2 linked regions of the Oryctolagus cuniculus genome follow. The protein of the gene in region 1 purifies or fractionates together with the protein of each later gene. This does not show direct contact. Links are inferred from orthologs where the notes say so. Each region holds a gene or a part of one and is shown on either strand. Other genes may lie near its edges.

Region 1 (4,522 bases):
ACAGCACTGGCCCCATGTTCTGTTTCTTTGACTTTTCCTTAACTACTAGTGCGGTTCATGGTTTTCCAACTCTTCACAAGGCTTTGTATTTTTCCTGCTTATTGCTTGTGATCTCTTTTGCCAATCTTTTTTTTTTTTTTGTCTTTTTGCTTTGGAAGAGCCTTTTGCATTCTGTCTACTTCATCGAACATTTCTCCCCAAGCTTTATCTTTTTATTTTTGAAGTTTAACAGGCAGAGACAGACAGATGTTCCACCCACTGTTTCATTCCCCCAAATGCTCTCAATGACCTTGGGGGGTGGGAGTTTGAAATCTGGAGTCAGGAACCCCATCCAGGTCTCCCAAGTACCTGAGCCATCACCACCTGGTCCCATGGTCTGCTTTAGCAGGAGCCAGAGAAGGGTACGGAGCTCAGGCACCTTTATATGAAAAAGAGAGAGAGAGAGGGATCTTTCATCTGCTGATTCACTCCCCAAATGGCCGCAACCACCCAGGCTGGGCCAGGCCAAAGCCAGGAGCCAGGAGCCAGGAGCCAGGAGCTTCATTCAGGTCTCCCACATGCTCCCCTGCTCGCCCAGGCACATTAGCAGAGACCTGGACCGGAAGTGGAGCAGCCAGGACTGGAACTGGCGCACATATGGGATGTCGGCACTGCACGTCGTGGCTTAACCTGCTATGTTTAAAACTATTTATTAAAGGGGCCGGCACCCCATATGGATGCCAGTTTGTGTCCCAGCTGCTTCTGGTCCAATCCAGCTCTCTGCTATGGCCTGGGAAAGCAGTGGAAGATGGTCCAAGTCCTTGGGAACCCTGTACCCATATGGGAGACTCATAAGAAGCTCTTGGCTCCTGGCTTTGGATTAACATAGCTCCAGCCATTGTGGCCAACTGGGGGAGTGAACCAGCAGATGGAAGACCTCTCTCCTTATCTCTCCTTCTCTCTCTCTGTGACTCCGCTTCTCAAATAAATAAATAAATCTTAAAAAACCAGCCTATTTATTAAGGTCTTCTAACTAAACAGGGATTGGAAGCATGCTGAAAGACACTAAGACTTGTTGAATGCCCGCGAGTCAAGGCGCGTGGGATCGGGGTAGCAGTCAACTCGCGAAAGCGCTTACGCGGGGGACCTCTGACCTCAAACAATCTAGTTTTGTGCTCTCCAAGTGCCTCCCCACCCTGCCTTTTGGCGCCCTTCCACCAAGAAGCCCTCGGGGCATTTCTCTCCAGGTCCCGCCTCGGTCCACGCCGTTTAGAAGCGCCGTTAGCAGCGTGGGCGGAGAGAGGCGCGGAACAAAATGGTCCGACTTCTGGCGGCCCGGCTCGCTCAAGGGCCAGCTTGTCTCCGCCCGGCTTCCTCGCGCTGCCTTTCGGGAGTTGTAGTCAGAATAGCTTCAGTTTGCTCCGAGGTGCGTAGGGACAGGACTCCAACTCCCAGTACGCCCCGCGGCCCCCGAGTGCAGCGCCTATTTTCATCCTCCCCACTTTTCCACTCCTCTTCCTTTCCTTCTCTTCTGTTTTCCCCATTCTGGGCTGCTGTGAAATCCCTCGTTGCTCTCCATCTTTTTCTCTCATTTCCTGACCATCCTTTCCCCCATCTCCGGGACATCGGCTCCGTTTAAGTGACGGCTGGAGACTCGGGGCGAGTGAGGGGGGTCGGCACAGAGTGGTGAGCGGGCCCGGGAGGGCGGGTAGACGGAGGTAGAAGAGAGCAGAGAGGGGTGGGGAGTGGCAGAAAAGTCGGGGAGAAGAAGTCGGGGAGAAGTTAGGGGATGGGACGGTGTGGATCGGGGTGGACGCAGTGAGGTAGACTTGGGGGAGGTGGAAGTGGTGGGTCTGGATTTGAGCAGCGTGGAGAGCAGAGGTTTGTTTTGCCGTACCTCGCAGAAGAGGGGTGCGAAGTAGAGGATGGGGAAGACGGACAGAATTGGAGCTTGCAGACTGCTCTGCAGGAGGGGCGGAGGGAGAGAGTGGGCGCAGACAAGGTTCTTTGCTACCGCTTAGCTAAAGAAGACAGGTCGTTGCAACCAAAATGATTTTTGCAAGTAGAGGCCAGTTAGTAACTTGGAAATTGAGGGAAGTCTGGAGTGGTGGGCAGAAGTGGGATGAGGAGGCAGGAAAGAGGGGAGGCTGGTCAGGTTTGGAGAGACAGCAGGAGATAAATGACCTGGGAACGGACACCACGGGTATTACTGTGGGGACTGATGGATCTGGAGTCAGAGGTCAGGGGTGACCCTGGTGTGGATCGCGGGGGTGTGCGGCTAACACTTGTCTCTCAGGTGATGGAGAGTACCCCTTCTAGGGGTGGACTGAACCGGGTGCATCTACAATGCAGGAATCTGCAGGAATTCTTAGGGAGCCTAAGCCCTGGGGTTTTGGATCGATTGTATGGGCACCCTGCCACCTGTCTGGCTGTCTTCAGGTGAGGAGTTCCCTTCACGGCAGCAACTGTGGTGGAGAAATGTGGTAGGGCTGGCAGACGGCAATGAGTTATCCTGGGCAGAACCGTAGCAGCCTGGCACGGCTTGGGAATTACTCCAAATTGATGCAGATGGAACAGATGGGGGTTCTGGGGACAGCAGGACTGGTTAAGATACGTGTGTGTGTGTGTGTGTGTGTGTGTGTTTCTGGTGAGATGAGATGTTTGAGAGGCATGTCAGGCAGAGATAGAGATAGAAGGCAGCTTCTGGTTTTGATTTCTGACCTCTACCCTCTGCAGAGAGCTCCCATCTTTGGCTAAGAACTGGGTGATGCGGATGCTCTTTCTGGAGCAGCCTTTGCCGCAAGCTGCCGTAGCCCTGTGGGTGAAGAAGGAGTTCAGCAAGTGAGTCTCGACGGCACTCTCAGCCAGATACAAATTTCTCAGCAGCTAGATTTCTCAAACTGCTGTTCTTTGGCACACTCTCAGGAAATACTAATAGGTACACCACAAAGCTTGCATGCTGTGTCTTCCTTCTTGGAGAGTTGTGATGTCTGTAGCAAGGTTCTGAAATTTGTGTTTAGGGGCTGGCTCTGTGGCGTAGTGGGTAAAGCCACCGCCTGCAGTGCCGGCATCCCATGTGGGCTCCACTTCCGATCCAGCTCTCTGCTATGGCCTGGGAAAACAGTGGAAGACGGCCCAAGCGCTTGGGCCCCTGCACCCACGTGGGAGACCCGGAAGAAGCGCCTGGCTCCTGGCTTCAGATTGGCCCAGTTCTGGCCATTGAGGCCATCTGGGGAGTGAACCAGCGGATGGAAGATCTGTCTCTGTCTCTGCTTCTGCCTCTCTGTATCTTTGCCTTTCAAATAAATAAATAAATCTTTTTTTAAAAAGGAAGAAATTTGTGTTTAGGAGACAGTGACTTCACTCTGAAATGGTTCGGAAGAGGCAGAAGTGGAGCCTGTGTGGGCCTCCTTCGTTTTGTTCTCGGGACACCCACTTAGCACTCATCTCGGCTTCTGTTCCAGGGCTCAGGAGCAAAGTACGGGGCTGCTGAGCGGCCTCCGGATCTGGCACACCCAGCTGCTCCCTGGAGGCCTCCAGGGCCTCATCCTCAACCCCGTCTTCCGCCAGAACCTCCGCGTCGCCCTTCTCGGTGGGTATGTCACTTCCATCTCTTCCTAAGCCAGCCCAGGGGGACAGGTAGTTCAGCTGCCGGAGGGGGAGCTCCTGGGGGGAGAGGGAACTCCTGGAGGGGAGAGGAGACTCCTGGCGGGGAGTGGGGCTCCTTGGAGCCTTGCGGGGCCCACCTTTGAGAACTCCTTTAGGGAGAAGTTGAATCAGATACAGCTGCATGGTGTAGGAAGTGTCCCCTATGCATGGCCCTTGAGGTAAGGGTGGAGAGGGGGCAGACAGGCAGCAGGGAACAGAGCCAAGGTTCCTCACCTCTTGGTGCGTCCTGGCCTTAGGGGGAAGGCCTGGTCTGATGACACAAGTCAGCTGGGACCCGACAAGCATGCCCGGGATGTCCCCTCCCTCGACAAGTACGCAGAGGAGCGATGGGAGGTGAGGCCCCTGGGGTTCTGCGGTTCTGCGCTCGCGCCGCTGCATCTGTGGCTCGCAGAGGCATCAGCCTCTGTGTTGTCTTCTGCTCTGCAGGTGGTCTTGCACTTCATGGTGGGCTCCCCGAGTGCGGCCGTCAGCCAGGACTTGGCCCAGCTCCTCAGTCAGGCTGGGCTCATGAAGAGGTGAGCAAGCTGGAGGTAACGCGACTCCCTGCTCTGCCGTCTCTTTGGGTCCTTGGTAAATGGTGTCTGGAGTGGGACCAGGTTCGAGGGAGTTGACTGCAAAAGCAGAGCTGGGTCCAGCAGAGCCTAAAGACACCAGGCGGGAACCGGAGAGCGCTGCTGGCGGTGACGGTCCTTCCCTGCCTGTCCCCATCACTGCCCCCTGCGTCTCTAGTGCCGAGCCAGGAGAGCCCCCCTGCATTACCTCCGCCGGCTTCCAGTTCCTGCTGCTGGACACGCCCGCCCAGCTCTGGTACTTTATGCTGCAGTATCTGCAGACCGCCCAGGTGAGGAGGCCTGGGGCCCACCCCCCGCTCGCT
Region 2 (2,982 bases), on another chromosome or scaffold:
AGAGATGGTATGACTCACCTTTCCCAGAAGCAAGCTGTACCAAAAAGTGATGAATCAAAACAGTTAGTTGCACAGTGGTTTGTATCGCAGCTATGAAAACCAGTTCTCATTTATGACAGTTGGCTTCTTGAGGTTGCCAAGCATTCTGTTGTGGTGCTTGAACTTGGCCACAAGTGAGCGACATTGGAGTGGAGACTGTGCCTCTCTTTTGAGGGCCCGAGGAAAGAAAAGAGGGTGCTATCACATCATCTGGAGTGGAGCTAAACATTAGTTGAAAACTGACATCAGGAATGGAACATTCATTTCCATGTCCCCTGTAAAAATGCCACTCACATATTATTTGTACGGTAATGTTGCTTTCCTAGTGAAGCCAGGTTGATTTCTAGACTTGCTGAGGTGACTTAACACTTACCTCATTGCTCGTGTATCAGAATGTGAACAGTTGACATTTTATTGTGTCCTGGAAGCTCATAAGCAGATAACCCTGGCTTGGGTAGGTTTGTTGAATCCTTGTTTATGTAAGTCCTCTGGGAGCCAAGGTTCTATCAAGTGCTTGACAGTGACCACTAACCAATGGCATGCACCTGCAAGGGTGTGTAAGATGGGCTACGAGGAGAAAGAATTAGACCTTGAAATATTATCATCTTTTAAATGTTCTACTTATATATTTATAACATGTATACTCTACTATATTATGTATATGATGTGGCGTGTTAATACTTTATATAATTTATAAATAAGTGTATGGGTTTCAGAGATGCATGTACAAGTATACTATAAATATACTACCAAGAAAGTTTTAAATTGTTTCTCAGGGAATATTAAATCTCTTCCTCCTTCCACTCTCCCCTTTTCACCCTTGGCAGAGAAGCCAAGAACTGAATTAGCACCTTGATTTGTGGCAAGGTGCATAAATTATAGCCAGCTCCAGGAGCTTAGCCTGTATCTTACTTTGACCACTTTTTCTATTTGGTCTCTTGTGTTGCACATATTTTTTAATCACAAAAGCTTATTAAACAAGGATACAAATGAAAAACAGACTTATTATGTTAGAAAGACTAAGTTGTTCATGCACTAAGATGTTGACACACAGGAAGTTTGAATGAATGAGTGGAAAAGTTTCCAGCTTATTAAAATGTTCTGGGACCTGATTTATTCATTTGCTATACCTGTAATTGTAAGGTGGGTGAAGCTCCTGGACTTCCTCCGACTGAAGGAACAATGTGGTTTTCTGCACCAGGCACTGAAACAAAGCTGGGAATGTTTGTTTTCTGGCCTTGTTGGCAGTCATGCTAAGAAGCTGCCCCTCGTTGGCCAGGTTTATCCTATTTTTTTAGCCTGTTTTGTCAATATAGAAAGTTTTAATTGCTCAAAAGTCTGAATTCAAAGAAAAATTGTGCCCATTACACTGTGTTTTACGATCAGTTCAGGACTTTCCCGTATTTACTATTTGAGACATTATTTTGAACTTGTGCCCAGTCTCAAAGATTTCTTGGACATGTAATTTTCCAAGTTTCCTTCCCTGCAAGGAAGCAGTGTATTTTTGGAATATTGAAATAATCTTGAAGTAACTAGTGTCCTCTCCGCCATTTATATTATTTAAGAGTTTGCTTTAAAACATTTATGTAAACTATAGTAATGCGATAGCGTGGTGACACAGTATTGTGTATGTAAGAGTAGGCCAGGAAGGAGAGCATTAGTTAGTTGCTCAAACAACAGCCAACAAAACAAATCAGTCCTGAAAAGTGTGGCACAGTGGGCATTTTAATAGCAAGCTTTGTTTCTGAAACTGACAGAGCTGTAATTTCCGTTGTAATTCAGTACTTGCTTGGGCCCTCCATGTACAGTTGGCACACTTCCTTCCCAGAGGTAATAATCCATTTATGAAAGCCTAGACATTTGGTTTTAGAATTTTTTTAAAATTGGACTCCGTTTTACTGTCGCCTTTAAAGAATGTTACCAGTCTCTGTGTGCATCTGCATCACGCTCCGCCTTTTGTTTTCTTCTAGGTATTTAACCCACGTCCGAGCTGCCTCTCCACAGGACCTCGCTGGCGGCTATACTTCGTCCCTTGCTTGTCACAGAGCCCTACAGGACGCATTCAGCGGGCTTTTCTGGCAGCCCAGTTAACCTGGATTTCTCCATTTATAAGCTTTGGACCTTGGAGCTGAACCAGGGAGCCAGCAAAGTAAAGCAGACGTGTAAAACTATACCACATGCAGCTGCACAAAAGCACCCTCACCAGCAGCTGTGTTAAACTATTTATAAAGAGAGAATCGCAGAACCAGCTGAGAAATACAGGGCGTGCATATTTGTGGGAAAGATTTCTTTTTCACTCGTATTTTTCTGAGGGTGATTGCTATGCAGCAAGATTCATCTGATGGAAAAGAGGAGTAAATAATTCACCTGTGTATGTTTGAGGTCGACAGACTTGTAAAATCATTTTAAAAATAAAGCTAGACTTTATATAAGGTTTGTGGTTTTTCTCTTATTATAGTGTTTCACTTGAACACATTTTAAAATGCCATTTTGATTACAACATTTAGTGTTAATATCCAAGTCTATTATTCTTCTCATAAAATCTTTCTTTTTTTCTAATGTCTCCTCAATACTGTGCCAGACAAGTGGATATATTTCCTTCTGCCAGCAGGTTGTGGCAAGTAAAACCTGACTGGTGATAATGTCACTCCCTCAGTATTAAGGACTTAATGCTTGTTTGACCAGTGGAAAGTGAGGCCAGCCTTGATCAAGGTGTTATGGTTCCCAGCTGTGAGGCACATTCAGGGTAGACCAGAACACTGCATTAACCTGCTTTAATGACAGATTCAAAGAAGTAAGTTAATAAAACTTAATACTTAAATGGCACCTTTCACCTCCAGTGTGAGCACATTTTATGATGAAACATTGGACTGGAAAAAGGTACATTTTAAGTGAAATTTCCCTGTGTGTGAAATGTAGACTCTGATGTAGTTTTCTGTAGAA

What was found.
Region 2: the proteins of GTF2H4 (region 1) and MNAT1 purify together in Homo sapiens (co-immunoprecipitation; 3 studies listed by BioGRID and IntAct, with this or other methods). This does not show direct contact. The link is inferred for Oryctolagus cuniculus from reciprocal best matches to the Homo sapiens genes GTF2H4 and MNAT1.

Annotation. Positions count from the first base shown.
Region 1 is NC_091436.1:139,556,649-139,561,170, reverse strand, and holds the start of GTF2H4 (general transcription factor IIH subunit 4), read left to right. Parts: upstream 1-1,444; 5' UTR 1,445-1,665; intron 1,666-2,275; 5' UTR 2,276-2,278; coding exon 2,279-2,418; intron 2,419-2,715; coding exon 2,716-2,820; intron 2,821-3,443; coding exon 3,444-3,575; intron 3,576-3,884; coding exon 3,885-3,981; intron 3,982-4,074; coding exon 4,075-4,163; intron 4,164-4,377; coding exon 4,378-4,489; intron 4,490-4,522. UniProt on the Homo sapiens protein: Component of the general transcription and DNA repair factor IIH (TFIIH) core complex, which is involved in general and transcription-coupled nucleotide excision repair (NER) of damaged DNA and, when complexed to CAK, in RNA transcription by RNA polymerase II.
Region 2 is NC_091451.1:9,614,872-9,617,853, reverse strand, and holds the end of MNAT1 (CDK-activating kinase assembly factor MAT1), read left to right. Parts: intron 1-2,009; coding exon 2,010-2,130; 3' UTR 2,131-2,471; downstream 2,472-2,982.